Oryzias latipes: one gene and its partner. The protein of the gene in region 2 interacts with the protein of the main gene of each other region in a biochemical or structural test. Links are inferred from orthologs where the notes say so. Each region holds a gene or a part of one and is shown on either strand. Other genes may lie near its edges.

Region 1 (8,209 bases), on a different chromosome or scaffold from region 2:
GTTAGTTTTGAACTCAGCCCATGATTACGAGGCTGTGAAGTGTCAACGAGCCGGGGCTCGCACTGACGCCACATCCCACCCAGCGTGAGATGAAGGGCAGTGGACGGGCATGTTGGAGCGATTCGTGGGAACAACATCAGCAAGAGCAGTTGGTGGTTCACCACTAACAGAGCTGTGGCTTCTCTTATGGACAATTAATTGCTGCAAGTTCTTGTTTTCTCTCTTTCTACCATCTTTCCCTCCCCCTCAAACTCTCCTCCATGAGGTTAGTTTCACCCTGAGAGATGACCACAGCGCTCCCACATGAACTCTGCCTTCCACCAGACATGAAAGGATGCCATCGTGGTGCGCTTGGCCGTCAAAGCTTACACAGACAAGAACCAGATCACACAGACAAGCCGGGATGTTGGAGATGGAGGAATGAGGCGCATGCAGTTTGAGTGTGAACACAGGCTCAAACAGGCAGGAAATCAAACTCTGCTCAGACTTGGCTGTCCTTGACCGGTGATTGCTCAACTCGATGTGCTGTCCTGTCACTGTTTCGAAAGATGTGCTCAGACAAACAGGAAGTAATGGAAAAGTTTATGGAGTTTATGGGACTCATAACAACACAGATTAAAGAGAATACTTTATTCAAACTCTACTTCAAAACAGCTGAGAGGAGGATTTTTCACTTTTAAAGAGTAAATTTTTGATTTATTTTCTTTGTGATTAAAAGTTCTTGCATGTTTCTGAAACATGTCAAATCACTCAAGTAACATTTAAAAATAAAAATTCTCATTTTTTGCAACATATTAAGAAAAGTAGGTGTTTAAAAAACATGTAGAAATGTCTCACCAAAAACTTGAGTTGGTGTATGCTTGTTACACAACATATACCAGAAAAGTATATCAACTTTAAGTATAGTTGTGCTAAAAACAAACATTAACTTCCTTTTAAAAAATAAAGGATTGAGAATGGGGAAGAACTCCGCCCTCTACTGGCCTAAATGTAGCACTGCAGCAGATTTTAATAATCCCCCAGCAAGCATTTGTGTTTTCTCCCCCTGACTTCTTTCATCTCCTGTTGAGTTAGATAAAAATTAAACATCCTGTCATCCCCCCTAAATGTTATCTGTGACCTCAAGCTCCAACCCCATCCTCCCTTCTGAAGAGTCTGTGTGTGTGTTGGAGTGGGGAGGGGAGCAGAAAAGTCAGAAATCTAAACCACTCAGAAAAAAAACGGAGTTCAGCCTTGACCCCAGGCTGCACAAACGCTTGGAAATCAACTTTACAGAGGGAGAACTGCATGCTGTCAACAGCAGGGGAATGGGACCAATAAAAACACAAGGTTTTAAAGAACTTTTGGGTGTCGTACAACATTTCCAAATATGTATGAACAAACAAAGGGACTGAAAACGTCGACCTTTCGGGAGGAAACTTTCCCTAACTTCCATCTTTTGAACTATGCTTCACAGTGGCGTCACAAAGAATTGTCACTTCAAGCAGATTTACTGAGGAAGTCCACAGATGCTCTTTCCTGCAATCACAACCTCAGCAGAGCAACAAGTCACGGGGCAAACTGTCGCAACACACTGTGTCAAAGTTATGTCAGCAGTCGTTCAGGAGGTTAACTGCTTGCATGTGAAAAGCAAGCGTGCATCTGACTTCATCCCTTAAGAGAACAAACTAGCTTTTTTTTTTTTCATTTATATTTTCATTCAGGCAGGAAACAGGTGCCTCTTCCTGAGCCTAGAGAAACATCTGAGTCGAACAAAATTGAGCACAGAAACACATTTGCAAGAGGAAAAGACAACGTTCAAGCCTGAGCAGCAGCTCCACTCCAGTCGTAAAAGCGGCCACAGTGGGCTTTTGATTATGATTATGCCATTTTTAGCCCAAATAAATAATGTGCAATTTTTAGGAAATCGTTTCTGCAGAGCAGCAGGAGTTCATTAGAAATTTGCCTCTGAGTGTAGGTGGGTGGGACCAACAGTGAGCCCGCCCCTACTTTCCGTCATCAATCTGTTTACACTCCTGTGTTTCGAGGCAGATGCCAGCTCGTACATGGAAAACGTACATGGATCCAGTCGTCTACAAGCGGATGCATCAGAATAGAGCTTGGAGCTTCTGACTTACCGTTGTAGGTTTTATGTCACACATACAAGCTTTTTCCAACTGCATTTTTTTTGTCTGCTCCTAAATGTGTCCTCCATCATGAGAAAAATGCTACAAGAACATGTTAAAAACGTCCAAAACACGATTATGATTGGAGAGGGTTTTAACCCTTGTGCTATCTTAGATGACCCCACCCTTACATTGACGTGTTCTCCCTACCATGACAAAGGTGGATAAAGGTGGAAAGATTTCATGTAATCCATGGACACCAGTGAAGATCACAAATCATTGAAGAAAGAAGTTTTAACGCACTGTCTAGTGGGTCTAGATGACCCAACTCCCCAATGTTAAAGTGCCTAGGATAGCACAAGGGTTACATGGTAGTGAAATATCCTACTGGCAGGAGAATGTAACTGCAGAAAATGCACACAGAGTATTATAAAAACATACTATTGCACATTAGAAATAGGGTGATTTTTGTAGTAATAAAGGTTCCAGAAAGCTCCCAAGTGTTTGTGTTCCCTGGGAAATAAAGACTACTCCCCCTCTCCCCCTGCTGTATTTATTCCTCAAACACTCTATCAGATCCTCAGATGATCCATCTGATCAATCAGTTACCAGGCCTTTGAACTGCAGACGTGATTTCTAGCAAGTGTGTCATCCCGGCCTGTCGTCTGTGAAAACACTGCAGGGGGAGATGGCTCCACAAGGCCCGGCTTGTTGTAAAACTCAAACACGCCCTGCCTGCCTGCCTGCCCGCCTCCCTGCCTGCAAAAGCAGCTGAAAACCAAAAAGGTTTCATCTACTTTTCTTGCTGCATTAGTTGGACTCTCCTTTCTTTGCAAAAACAAGCTTCCCTGCCTCCTCCAGGGAGACAAAGCTCTCCCCCCACCACCTCCTCCTGCTTGGCTCCTGGATAGGCAAAAAGGAGGAAGGGGAAAGGGAATGTTCTGCCTCCTCTATCCCCACCAGCCTCATTCACCTCCCTGGGGCAGTGCTGTGTAGTAATAAACGTCCACCATAAATCTCCTCCTCATCCCCTCCTCCAACTTTTTTTTTTTTTTTTTTTGTTAACAACACGCTCCCCCAACTTTTCTTTTCTTTTTTTTTCTTTTTTGCCGCCTCCTGTGTTCTGAGGCAAACTCTGCCTGCTGCACTCTCATGGATTTTCAAAGGTCTGTCATGGATTTGCAGCTTGTGAGATTTTATATCACACGCTAGGGCTGCAAAAAAAAAAAAAAAAAGAAAAGAAACTGTGGAAAAAAAAGGGAAGACCAGGAATAAAAACAAGTCAGTAATGGTTATTTAACTGCAGCAGGGAAGGAGTTAAAACTGCTTAAACACATGGAAAGTCCCACAAGAGTTCAGCAATTAGGAGTAAATTAATTACAGAGGAGCAGATCCTGGATCAAATCCTGTGCTTCCTGGTAAACAACCTCAGAAAAGAAAAGAAAAACAGGAGGAAAGTCTTCAGACTTCAATGTTCTCTCTTTCTTTGAGAGAAATCCAGAATCTGAGCTCTGTTAAAGGTTTGATTCCTTTACATGAAAACCTGTTGAATATCCACTAACACAGCGGAGAGGGAGGGGGGTAAAAAAAAAAAGTTTCTGAAAGTTGACGCCCTAAAGAGAGCTGCAGGCTCCTCCTGCTTGAGATTATAAAAGCAAATGTGAGCCGGAGACGCGCAGAGGGGGAGTCTGCGAAAAACACACGGGAGCAGCGAACCAGAGGCTCTGCGCAGCTGCGTAACTTTCCAAACAACAGTCGTTTGGGCTTTTTTTTTTTTTTTCTTCGCATATTACCTTTTTGAATTGATCTGTGCAGCCATGACCACAGCTGTGGTTTCTCCCTTCTTCGACTTCGAAGTAATGAACAAGGTAGCTGGGAAACTTTAAAAGTTTTCTTCTCTTCCTCTTCTTTCTTGCTGGTTAGCCTGTTAGCCGCTGTGGAGGAATGAGGAGCCGCCATTTTTGCGGACTCCGATTCCCTTTCCTACGTGTGTTTGGCTTTAATCTTCCTTTTTCCCCCGTTCTAATTCTGTCCGTTTACGTTCTCCTCTCCATAATGTGTGATAAGTAAAATGCCTCGCGGGCTTTTAGCTAGAGCTAGCATGAGTTTGAATCAGCTTTTCAACATGTGCCACATCAGCTAACTTTTTGAAGGCCGTAAAACAAAAGTTAAAGTCGTAAAGTTAAAGTCTCACGCGGGGTTTTGTGCTTTGCTAATAATTGACCACGCTGGCCTGGCTATAGCCCCTGGAAAGCATTTAACGTGATCGGGTTAACCTGGATGTTTGCTTAGCGGGGACCTGTTTACGCGTGGGTTTTTGCTGCTTTTCTTTTTTTTTTTTTTTTGCATACACGCCACGGATCGTTTATTTCACCGCCGCCGTTTTCCCGCTCTGCCCCCCCTGATCTGTTGCATTTATGTAAATCGGCTAACCGGTGATCTCCGCTGGTTTTGCACGTGCTTTGTAACGCAGATCAGGTTCCTCTTGTCATGCAGCAGAGAATGCTTTCATTAACTTTCAAATGATGCAATGGCCCCTGCAGCACAGAGCTCTGGTGTGCTGCTTCTCCTTTTTACTGAGCAGGCGCACATTCCTAACCGAGGCAACCTGCCAAACCAGCTGCTGGCCTATCGACCTGCATCCGAGCTTCTAACCTGCAGCTTCTGCATTCATGTTTTTCTCTAATGCAGCGTTGTTTATTCTTGCAGAACAACAAGCTGATGAGCTACAACAACAACCTGAGTCTCCCCCACCCCATGTCTGTCCCTTGCACTGGCACCAACGTGCCCCTCTCCAGTCCCACCGGGGTCCTGCTGGACAGGAAGGCGGTGGGATCTCCCTCGGTGGGAAGCGTGTACCAGCGGCGGCACTCTGTCAGCAGCACAAAGTTCAACCAGAACCAGTTTCTGAACAGCCTGAAGGCAGCGGACCACTCCTCGCTCATCTCAGGGGTTGGCAACGCCAGCAGCAACAAGGAGAACCGCCTGCGAGACCGCTCCTTCTCAGAGACGGGGGAAAGGCTCATCAACAAGTGCCCTGCCAGCCCCACCTGCGGGGGCAGCCAGGTCAACTCCAGCCGTTACAAGACAGAGCTCTGCAGGCCCTTCGAGGAGAACGGCTCCTGCAAGTACGGTGACAAATGCCAGTTTGCCCACGGCATCCACGAACTCCGCAGCCTGAGCCGCCATCCCAAATACAAGACAGAGCTCTGCCGCACCTTTCACACCATCGGGTTCTGCCCCTACGGGCCTCGCTGCCATTTCATCCACAATGCAGAGGAGCGCCGTGGACCCCCACAGCAGTCCTCCCCCCTAAACTCTTCCAACAAGATGGAAAGGCCTCGCCTGCAGCACAGCTACAGCTTCGCCGGTTTCTCCAGCTCAGCCGGCCTGCGGGACAGCCCCACCTCCGTCACCCCGCCGCCCATCTTCTTCCCCGATGAGGTCCCAGACTGGCCCAGCAGCAACCCCTTCACCTATTCCAGCCAGGAGCTGGCCAGCCTGTTTGGACCCAGCCTCAGCACCGGTGCTGTGGAGTCCAACACCCCTGCTCCTCCTTCCCCCACAAGCAGATCCTTCTTCATCAGATCCATGTCCCCTCAGATGTTCGAGTCTCCATCCAGCCCCCCAGACTCCCTGTCAGACCAGGAAGGCTATCAGAGCAGCTCCGGGGGGAGCCTGAGCGGCTCGGAGTCCCCAACCCTCGACACCACACGCCGCCTTCCCATCTTCAGCCGCCTCTCCATCTCTGATGACTAGACCCCCCCCCCCCCCCCCCCTACACCTGGCAAGTCGCCTTTATCGCAGAAAACATGGCACTCCCCTCTACCTCTGCCCCCTCCCCATGAAGCTTCTCTGGCCTGCTTTACTCAAACTCTGGGTAATCATTTAAGGGAACTTTCTTAACTCCAGTTGTCATTTCACCCCCCCCCCCCCAATTCCTTTATTCTGCACATCAGCCCTCACAGATGATGCGGCCGGCGTGTCGTGGTGCCAAACCCGGAGAGAGAGCCGAACAATGAAAATCATGAACAACCGTTGACTGTTTTCCCAGGTGCCACTTGTCCCTTCTTTTTTCTGTTGTGTGCCCCCCCCCCACCAATTCTTGAATGTGTAGCAGCACAAGTGGCCTTGGGAAGGGGGGGGTGCATTGCACCAGACCCCCCCCCCCCCTCCTCCTTTACCCACCCTCAAATCCTGAGCTAGCTAGTTGGTGCTCACTAATGTAGCTCTACGGCAGACGTTTTTACAGACTGAGCTGAGATATATAATAAAAAACAAAAAAAAAAAATAACAGACCCTGAAAATATATGAATAGGTTTTAAAAAAAAAAAATAGTTAAAAAGTGCCTGGGGCGGTTTTCTGCATGTTTAGGGTGAATGGACTACTGCTTTTTTTTTTTTTTCTTTCCCTCACTTGCCCCTCCTCTTCCTTTAAAGCCCTTATGTAATTGAACTGGCTGAGTACAAGAAGGACTTTAAACTGGAGGTTGGTTGTGCCCCCCACCCCCATGTTGCTGGTCACTGGCTTTTTCTCTTACTTGGGAAGGAAGTCTTCATCAACCCTAAACATTCAACCTTCTCCACATTCGCCTTCGATCCGGGAAGTTCAGCATTCCCATGATGCCGTTTGCATCCAAAAGTGTCGACAAGATCGGATCTCCAAGCTATTTTACTTTACCCCCCCTCGCTCAGAGGAGCTCTCTGTATTCATTACATCCCTTTTGCTTTCATTATTTTCTAATTATTTTTTATTAAGGTTATTATTTGAAAAAAAAAAAAAACTTTCCAGACAGAAGGTTTGTGTGTCACTGCTTATTTAACTTATCAGAACATATTTATTGGTGATCATATGCATTTTTTTTGTTAATTTTTGTTTTTTGTATTTATCTGGATAATGAACAATAGAATATATTTTCTTTTATGTTAAATTATGATCTTCCATAATAATCTAAAGATTGTGAAGACGGTTTTTTGTCAGCTTTCTTTTTTTTTTCTCTTTTTTTCACAGTTTAATATATTGTACTTCAATGACTTGTTCTGCAACTACACTTTTGTCAAATGAAACTATTTAAAGATGGAAAAAAAGTGGTTTTGCGTTTCTTTTTAATATTTATTGTACTTTATTTTTCTTTACTCCTCATCGGACTGCAATTCCACCTTTTTTGTTTTTTTTATTAGATTTGCTCGATCGATTCCCATGACCTTAAAGTGATCCGATAGCGACAGTTGCTCACTGTTATGACGTTAATTTAACCAAGTTCCCCGTTTGGAGGTTGTTTTTGTTTTGTTTTAAGGGGTGCCAAATTAAGAAAAAGAAATCCAGTGGTTTGAGGACAGTCCAGTGAGTTGGAGGACTGGTTATGTTCAGATGTTAGTCCGTTATTACAAGCAATAGCTTTGACCAAATGGGTTGAGGAAAGTATAAATTTTCTTTTAATTTGATTGGATGCTTGATGCGCTTGCTTGCCCCCCCCCCCCCATGTGCCTCTTAACCAGTGGAAGTGCCTCATCGAATACATTCCAGGTAGCTAAGGCACTTTTGCCTTTTTATATTGATAATGGAGGACAGTTTTTATGTCGCTTGTTCCTTGTTGCCCTCTGTGGTTTTTTTGGAGGAGGTGAACAGTCTGACACAAAGAAAGTAAAACTGTTGAATGTATTTTTTTTGTTTTGTTCCAGCCATGTGTTTTCACTACAGTAATTTCTTATGGAAAACCTTTTTTTTTTTTCTTTTGTAAGTATTGATTGCAGTTAAGTCAATAAACCCCGTATTTTTGAAAAAGTTAAACCTGTTTCTGGAGTTTCTGTGACAAGCGATGCACAACGTGTACTTTTAAGTTAGACATTCAAATGACCTGCTATAAAAAAACGTAATATCTAAACTTATTCTTTTTCTCTGGAGCTCAGATTTACGGTAGTGAATCAGTTAATGGGCAAAATTAATGTTTGATTCTTGTTTGGGGGGGCATCTTTTGTTGGAATATCATCACAGAAGTGGCCCTTTTATTTTATTTTTATTTTTTTTGATGAGCTGAAGGGAGTTTCACTGAGATAGAAGTTGATTGGTGAGCTACTCTGGGTCATTGACCTAAGAATAATCAA
Region 2 (7,557 bases):
ACTGAAAACAAAATGGTCATTACTAATATTTGGATGAAAAGCCTTTGTTGGCAACGACAGCCTGAAGTCTTGAACTCATGGACATCACCAGATGCTGGGTTTTCTCCTTCTGAATGCTCTGCCAGGCCTTTACTGCAGCGGCTTTCAGTTGCTGTTTGTTTGTGGGCCTTTCTGTCTGAAGTTTAGTCTTCAATAAGTGAAATGCTGCTCAGTTGGGTTAAGATCAGGTGACTGACTTGGCCATTCAAGAATATTCCACTTCTTTGCTTTAATAAACTCCTGAGTTTCTTTGGCTGTATGTTTTGGGTCGTTGTCCATCTGTGTTATGAAACGCCGCCCAATCAGTTTGGCTGCATTCACCTGGATCTGCGCAGACAGTATGTCTCTGAACACCTCAGAATTCATTGGGCTGCTTCAGTCCTGTGTCACGTCATCAATAAACACTAATGTCCCAGTGCCACTAGCAGCCATGCACGCCCAGACCATCATACTGCCTCCACCGTGTTTTACTGATGATGTAGTGTGCTTTGGATCATGAGCTTCTCCACGCCTTCTCCACACTTTTCTTTTGCCAGTATTCTGGTAGAGGTTGATTTTGGTTTCATCTGTCCAAAGAACGTTTTTCCAGAACTGTGCTGGCTTTTTTAGATAATTTTTAGCAAAGTCCAATCTAGCCTTCCTATTCTTGAGGCTTATGAGTGGCTTGCATCTTGCAGTGTACACTCTGTATCTACTCCCATGCAGTCTTCTTTTTATGGTAGACTTGGATATTGTTATGCCTACCTACTGGAGAGTGTTGTTCACTTGGTTGGCTGTTGTGAATAGGTTCCTCTTCCCCATGGAAATGATTCTGCGATCATCCACTGTTGTCTTCCGTGGATGTCCAGGTCTTTTTGCGTTGCTGAGCTCACCAGTGCTTTCTTTCTTTCTCAGGATGTACCACACTGTTGATTTAGCCACTCCTAATACTGTAGCAATTTCTGGCATGTTTTCTTCTTTTTTCTCAGCTTAATGATGGCTCCTTTCACCTGCATGAGCTCCTTTGACCACATGTTGTCTGTTCACAGCAAAATCTTCTAAATGCAAGCACGAGTCCTCTAGTCAGCTCTAGGCCTTTCATCTGCTTCACTCATAATGACATAACAAGGGAATTGCCCACACCTGCCCATGCAATAGCATAGAAGTCAATTGTCCAATTACTTATGAGCCCATGAAATGAAGGGATTGTGTTTAAAAATGCTTTAGTTTTTCACATTTTTATGCAATCTTTTTGTTCAACCCATGGAATAAAAGCTGAAAATCTGCACTTCAATGGCATCTGAGTTGTTTTATTTAAAATTTTTCATTTTTTTCTGTACCGCTTTGTCCCTTTCGGGGTCACGGGGCTGCCGGAGCCTATCCCGGCTACTTGGGCGTAGGCAGGGGATGCCCTGGACAGGTCGCCAGTCTGTCGCAGGGTAGAACGTCCACAGTCACACACCCATTCACTCTCACACTCACACCTATGGACAATTTAGAGTTGCCAATTAACCTATGAAGCATGTTTTTGGACAGTGGGAGGAAGCCGGAGATCCCGGAGAAAACCCACGCATGCACGGGGAGAACATGCAAACTCCACACAGAAAGGTCCCCCATTGATGTATTTTTCAAGTCCCCCAGCCAGGACTTAAACCGGGGGCCTTCTTGCTGTGAGGCAAGAGCACTAACCACTGCGCCACCGTGCAGCCCTTGTTTTATTTAAAATGCACTGTGGTAATGTACAGAAAGAAAATTAGAAAGATTGCATCTCTGTCCAAATATTTTTGGTCCTGACTGTATATAAAGAAAAATCCAGCTTGAAATGGTGTTTCTGAGTATTTCTTTATTCAAATCGCTGTGAATCAGGAGCAAACAAAAAATGCAGTTTGAAAAAGCTTGTAGTTGTGATGTAGGCATTACAATGGCTAGGCCACAAGCTCCCTGCTCCGCTCCATTCCGATGGTTCTGCTTGCAGAGAAAAAGATCCATACTGTTTACGTCTTCATTTTCCTCGTCTGAGCATCAAAACCGTACGGCTGGGTAGCTCCAATGTTGCTCGCCATTTTTGTTGCACTGGTGATGTTAGGTTGGGGGTGTGAGGAGCTGTAAGCTAGCAGGAGAGAATGTAAACAAAGGGATGATAGGAAGTGTGGGCAGGTTTACACTGAGCCAATTGTCTCACCCACAACTTTCTAATGAACTCCTGCCGCTCTGCAGAAACTATGTCCTAGAAATTTCAATGAAAATATTTTTTTCAATGATTTGATGATAAATGATGATTAAAAACTCAAAATGACTAAGTGTAACCACCCTGTTCTAAATAAACTAATGAATTACTTCACATTAGGTGATTCATTAATTTATAGAGAATAGGGTGGTGTGTCACTTTTTAAACTAATCTTTATTTTATGTAATAGATTCTCCAATGGTCATTAGCGTAATGTGTAATTTCTTTATCAGCACATAGCAGCAAGTGTTTTTTTTCTTTTGTAATCCCACAATGTACATTTAGTTGAGTTAAGAAAAGTCTTATTTATTGCCAACTTAGTTTTTCTCAAAACTGACATATGTGGTGAAGAGAATTCAGTAATTTTTCTAAATAAAAAAAACGCAGAATCAAACAGTATAGAAAATGGAAAAAAAATGCAAGTTATGATTCTTTTTTTGTGGTCTTGTTTGTACCAATTGACTTACGGACGACTTCTGGTCGTTTTTGCGTGGAAAAACTGCATCAATGAGCTTGGGTTTGATTTCACAATCAGTAGCTTCCTCTTCTCAAAAGGAGCAAAAACAATAGAAATACATCAAAGACCAAATGATAGACTGTGCAGGAAGTGACAGGAAACTGCTCCAACAAGTCAAGTGCTGCAGAAAACAGCGGTTGAATTTGGCTTACCTGTGACAAAGTCACAAGGATTGTGGTTTCCTCCCACAACATCCGACAAGGTCCGTAAAAATACTCAAATAATAAAATGTCCAAAAAAATAAATAAGTTTGGGGTTGTGTAATCTGGCTTCCTCCCACAGCCCACCAGCATATCTGATAGATTTTTTTTAAAGCTTCTAAACCGTGGTTGGCTCCATGCCAACATTTGTGAGTAACAAGTGACCTTGTCCATATAAGGACTTTGGCCTTTGCATTTTTAAAGACCCACTCCAATCAAAATCACCTTTCTGTTGTGAATCAGGAGCAAACGGAAAAAAAAAGCAGTTTGTAAAAGCTTGTAGTTGTGAGATAAGTGTTACAGTGGGCAGGCCATCCCTCCCTACTCCGCTCCATTCCGATGCGTCCACTTGCAGACAAATGGATCTGTTAATGTTTTCATTTTCCCCGTTTGAGCTGGCATCTTGCTCAAAATCGTACAGGGGGATGCTTCGATATTCCTCACCATTTTTGCGGCACCACTAATGTTAGGTCAGGGGTGTGATGACCTGTTAGCTAGCTGGAGAAAGTGTAAACAAAGGGATTATGGGAAATCGGTCCCGCCCACAACTCAGAGGCAGATTTCAAATGAATTACTGCCACTCTGCAGAAACTTTGTCCAAGAAAACAACACGTGCTTTTTGATTTTGGCTAAAAACAGCATAATTATAATTCAAACACCACTGGGAACACAATAGATCAAAAGATGATTGGAGTGGGACTTTAAGCCATATTTTATGCAAATATTAAAAATCTCTCTCTAATATGAAGGTTTCAGCTTTTAATGATAAAGATGAAGAATTCCTCCACCATACAAGATGAAATTCCTTGCCTTATTTCCCTGAGTAGAGTAGAAATACTTCATATAGATCAGAACTATTTGAAGGTCTTGATAAATCTACAATGGTAATGATTTAAAACTTTGCAAGTGTTTTCTAGAAGTGTGCTTTTTTAACTCAAGGTTCAATTCCAAACTGAATGTCATCAAGGACGGATTGGATTGAAACGCAGACTCCCATCTGGTCACTCCATTCTTAGTACTGCGGATGTGTGCTAATAAGGATTGCCTCAAAAGGTTTTGTGTGTGTGTGTGTGTGTGTGTGTGTGTGTGTGTGTGCAGGGGACTGTGCTTACCATTCCATGACAATAAGCAGACACTTCCTTCCCTGATAGAGGTTTTCAAAGACATCGATGATGCGCACAATACTGGCACAAGGTGATGCCCTCCAGTGAAGCTCCGCTTCCCTGCGTGCCTTGGGACAGTCCTGAAGCATCTGAAGACAGAGAAGGTTAGGTTAGTTATCCTGTGTTACGCATCTAAATAACTTAACTTGCAGGCAAGAAGTCAGGATGAAGGAAATTTGTTTTTTTGTCAACATTTCTGTACGAAAACTGAGAAAAGCATGGGATGGTGGACAATATGAATAAAGAATTAATAATAATAAAAAGGAAGAACATGGGTCAAATACTATTTTATTACAATGATCAAAAAGTGACATTTTTAAAGTGAGTTTGTTCAAATTAGATTTGTGCAACTATGGCACCCTCTTTGTGCAGCACAAACTCATTACACCATTTATTATAACTACAATCAAATTACCGGTAAATGAAATGCTTTTTTTTAACGTTGCTAAAAAGTGTAATAAAAATGACTATATAAATAGACATTTATAAATTCTAACATTTGTTCCCCTGTGGTTAATTACATTAATCTAAAGAGTAAAGAAAAATCTAGTTTTAGGCTTAAATCTTTATAGATCAAGTACTTATCTTTTCTGAGGTGTTCATTTTTTTTAAAATCCATGTAACGTTATTTTTTGTTGTTTTATTTAGGGTTTTTTTGTCAGTTGTGTAAGTTTACAACTTAACCTGAGTTCACAAATACAAAAAAGGAAACATTCATCTACAGGGGAGGGTGCCGTCTCCATGGTTACACCCTAAAAATCAAGTCTGTCACAATGTAATGGAAGATCCCCTTTTCAAAGTATGCCTTCAAACAGTGAAGGGAAACGCGCCACACTAACATCACTAATGTAATGCAGGACAAAATGAATTTTCAGTCCATCTGGTAGCGCACAACATTCCAACACTGCCCACAACTTCACAGTGGGCTTCATTCCACAGACAACAAACGTCTACTTTTCTCAAAGGAGTAATGCACACAAGTGTTTGTGCATTACAAACTAAAAACATTAACAAGTTATTTGTGAAACAAAAGTAAGAAGCCAAAGAAAACAGATGTCAGCTAATTCAGTTTTAAAAAGGCATTCCCATGGATCACATATGAAATTCTAAATCTAATTTGCAAAAAATCTTTGTCTTATCTGGTGTGAGAAACGGCTGATAATGGTACAAAAGCCTGCTTGGTGTGCCACGTTCCCTCTATGTGCAAAGCTTAGACTTAAAGATCTCTGGATATTTTCAAATTTGAGTCAGTCTTAAAAGGTCACCACTGTTTCTAACAAAAATATATTTTTTAATTCAACGCAGTACATTTTTGATTGATGCAGAAAACATCTGATTGCACCTATTTTTATGCTGAAAGATCTTTGGTGCATTATATATGAACATGAAATTAAGATAAATGATACAATGGTGCCACCTGCTGATGGAAAATAGACACTGCAGTTCCACTCTGATAGGAGGTAAACTACAGTCACAAGTTGTTTTTAGAACGTTGACATCATCAATGTCACCAGCAAAAAATAATTAAAAAAAGATGAGAGATCAAAATCTAAAAGTTTACAACCAGCTGGAGTCTTTCTGCATGAACTAATGCATGTTTACATTGCATCTGCATCAGTTATGCTCATCAAATGCATACATGAATGATGTCTAAGTCTTTAAAGCTCTGAGAGCACATATTTTTTCTTTGTGCAATTCCATTGACAATGTTAGACACAAGTTTGACCCAACGGAAGCAGAGCATATAGATAATGAGAGGGTGAGTCATGACTCGGTCATCCTCCACAGAAGTGATACTTTTAGTGTCGCATGCAGGGCCACAAGAACAAGAACAGAGGGCTTTCTGGCTGAAACATTTTCCACTTCACAAGGAGTTCAAGTGCAGAGCTCCTGTGAAATCCTGACAGAGCTGCTGTAAGCTAACATGAGCATCACTTTATAGAAAGTACTACAATTTAGCTCCAATCTTAAAATCCTCAAACTCAAAAATGAAGACATCCAAATAAATCTGTCTTTAAGGTAAACTTTTTGAACATGTTCCAATTTTCGAAACGACTGCCAGCATCTAGCAAATGTCCACCTTGGTGTAGTTATTCAGAAAAAGCATCGAGTTTTAGACATTGTTTTGGAAGACGAGAGGTCTTCTGCATTTAGATATCAGTTTCCAGAGAAAAGGAAAAACTAACTGTAGGCTATTTAATTTAAAAAAAAATCCCCTAAAAGGCCAAGGAAAGGTTTGAAAAGCTAAAAACAAGTTACATTTGCAGATTTTGATTGAAGTCAATTTTAGGTCAGCCATAACATTTTAAATTGATTTTAACAAGATTTGATTTAAAAAGTGGTTTAAAATGATGTAAAAACTGGGATATATGTTGGGTCTATAACAGATTTCTCCATGGGAATAATTAACAGGACTAAGTGTCCTGTTCTGCTAGGATGTTAGTCATCAACAGTTGGTTTGGTCTTTAGAATTCAAGAAAATGTATAACAATGGGTAACAGTAGCGGGATTCTTTTAAGTGCAGTAAGAATATACAACTGCAGGTACAGGGATGATACAGTCCCTGTATGATTTACAGTGCTTGTCCCCTGAAGGGTGTAAGGGTGCAAAACAGGATTGCATGCAATGAAGGAAAAATAGATTCACTGCGCTTATCTGCAGTTTGGGTTATTTTTCATTTCTTCACAGAACATAAATACATCTGAATACACTTATACCAAAAATACTGAGAATTTTGTATTTTAAGACCAGAAATAAAATGGAAAAAAAGTCCTACATATTCTTCTTTCTTAAATGCTCACTGTAAACATGTATACGTAAATCATGTTAACAAGAAAAGAAGTCAGTTATCTTATTCAGACGTACACTGTGGTTTTAAACATTGAAACAAATGTGGTCATTGAGCCATTAGGTCTTTGTTTCATAGAAGGTTCGGTGACAATTGCTAATAACGGAATTTAGCCAATCACAATCAAGAAAGCATCTATCCAGTTTTAGAAAGTGCTGGGGGGGGGTCCACATTTTTTTACAGGCACATGTGGGCCGTAGAACTTTGAATGCGTGATGCATTTGCCTCTGGGGCCGGACCTGGACATGCCTGGCTTAAGGAGTCCTTTAAAATAATTTAGCCCCTCCCCCTGTGCCCAAAACAAGTCTGCAGTTAGTGAAAGGATTTACATTTTATACAAAAGCAGAAAAATAAGACTTATTATTCAAAAACAATAGAAGAAACAATTTAAGAAGCCAAGCAACATTTCAAACATTATTTCTATACATCCGCTGGTAATGACATCATTTCATATTTTCAGGTGTATGATGGTTGGATAATGGCTCTTGCGCACGCTCCTAATCCATGGAAAGTGCATTTCGTCTAAGTGTGCACTCCTAGCAGTTGTTAAAAACATATCTTTGTGTAGCTAGAGACACTATAGA

Evidence for each region.
Region 1: of the proteins of mapkapk2 (region 2) and zfp36l1, one has a biochemical effect on the other in vitro, tested with the Homo sapiens proteins (2 studies listed by BioGRID). The link is inferred for Oryzias latipes from reciprocal best matches to the Homo sapiens genes MAPKAPK2 and ZFP36L1.

What each region holds. Positions count from the first base shown.
Region 1 is NC_019880.2:4,538,794-4,547,002, forward strand, and holds zfp36l1 (mRNA decay activator protein ZFP36L1), read left to right. Parts: upstream 1-3,763; 5' UTR 3,764-3,922; coding exon 3,923-3,973; intron 3,974-4,814; coding exon 4,815-5,864; 3' UTR 5,865-7,895; downstream 7,896-8,209. UniProt on the Homo sapiens protein: Zinc-finger RNA-binding protein that destabilizes several cytoplasmic AU-rich element (ARE)-containing mRNA transcripts by promoting their poly(A) tail removal or deadenylation, and hence provide a mechanism for attenuating protein synthesis.
Region 2 is NC_019863.2:27,964,512-27,972,068, forward strand, and holds part of mapkapk2 (MAP kinase-activated protein kinase 2), read right to left. Parts: intron 4,215-7,557; coding exon 4,075-4,214; intron 1-4,074. UniProt on the Homo sapiens protein: Stress-activated serine/threonine-protein kinase involved in cytokine production, endocytosis, reorganization of the cytoskeleton, cell migration, cell cycle control, chromatin remodeling, DNA damage response and transcriptional regulation.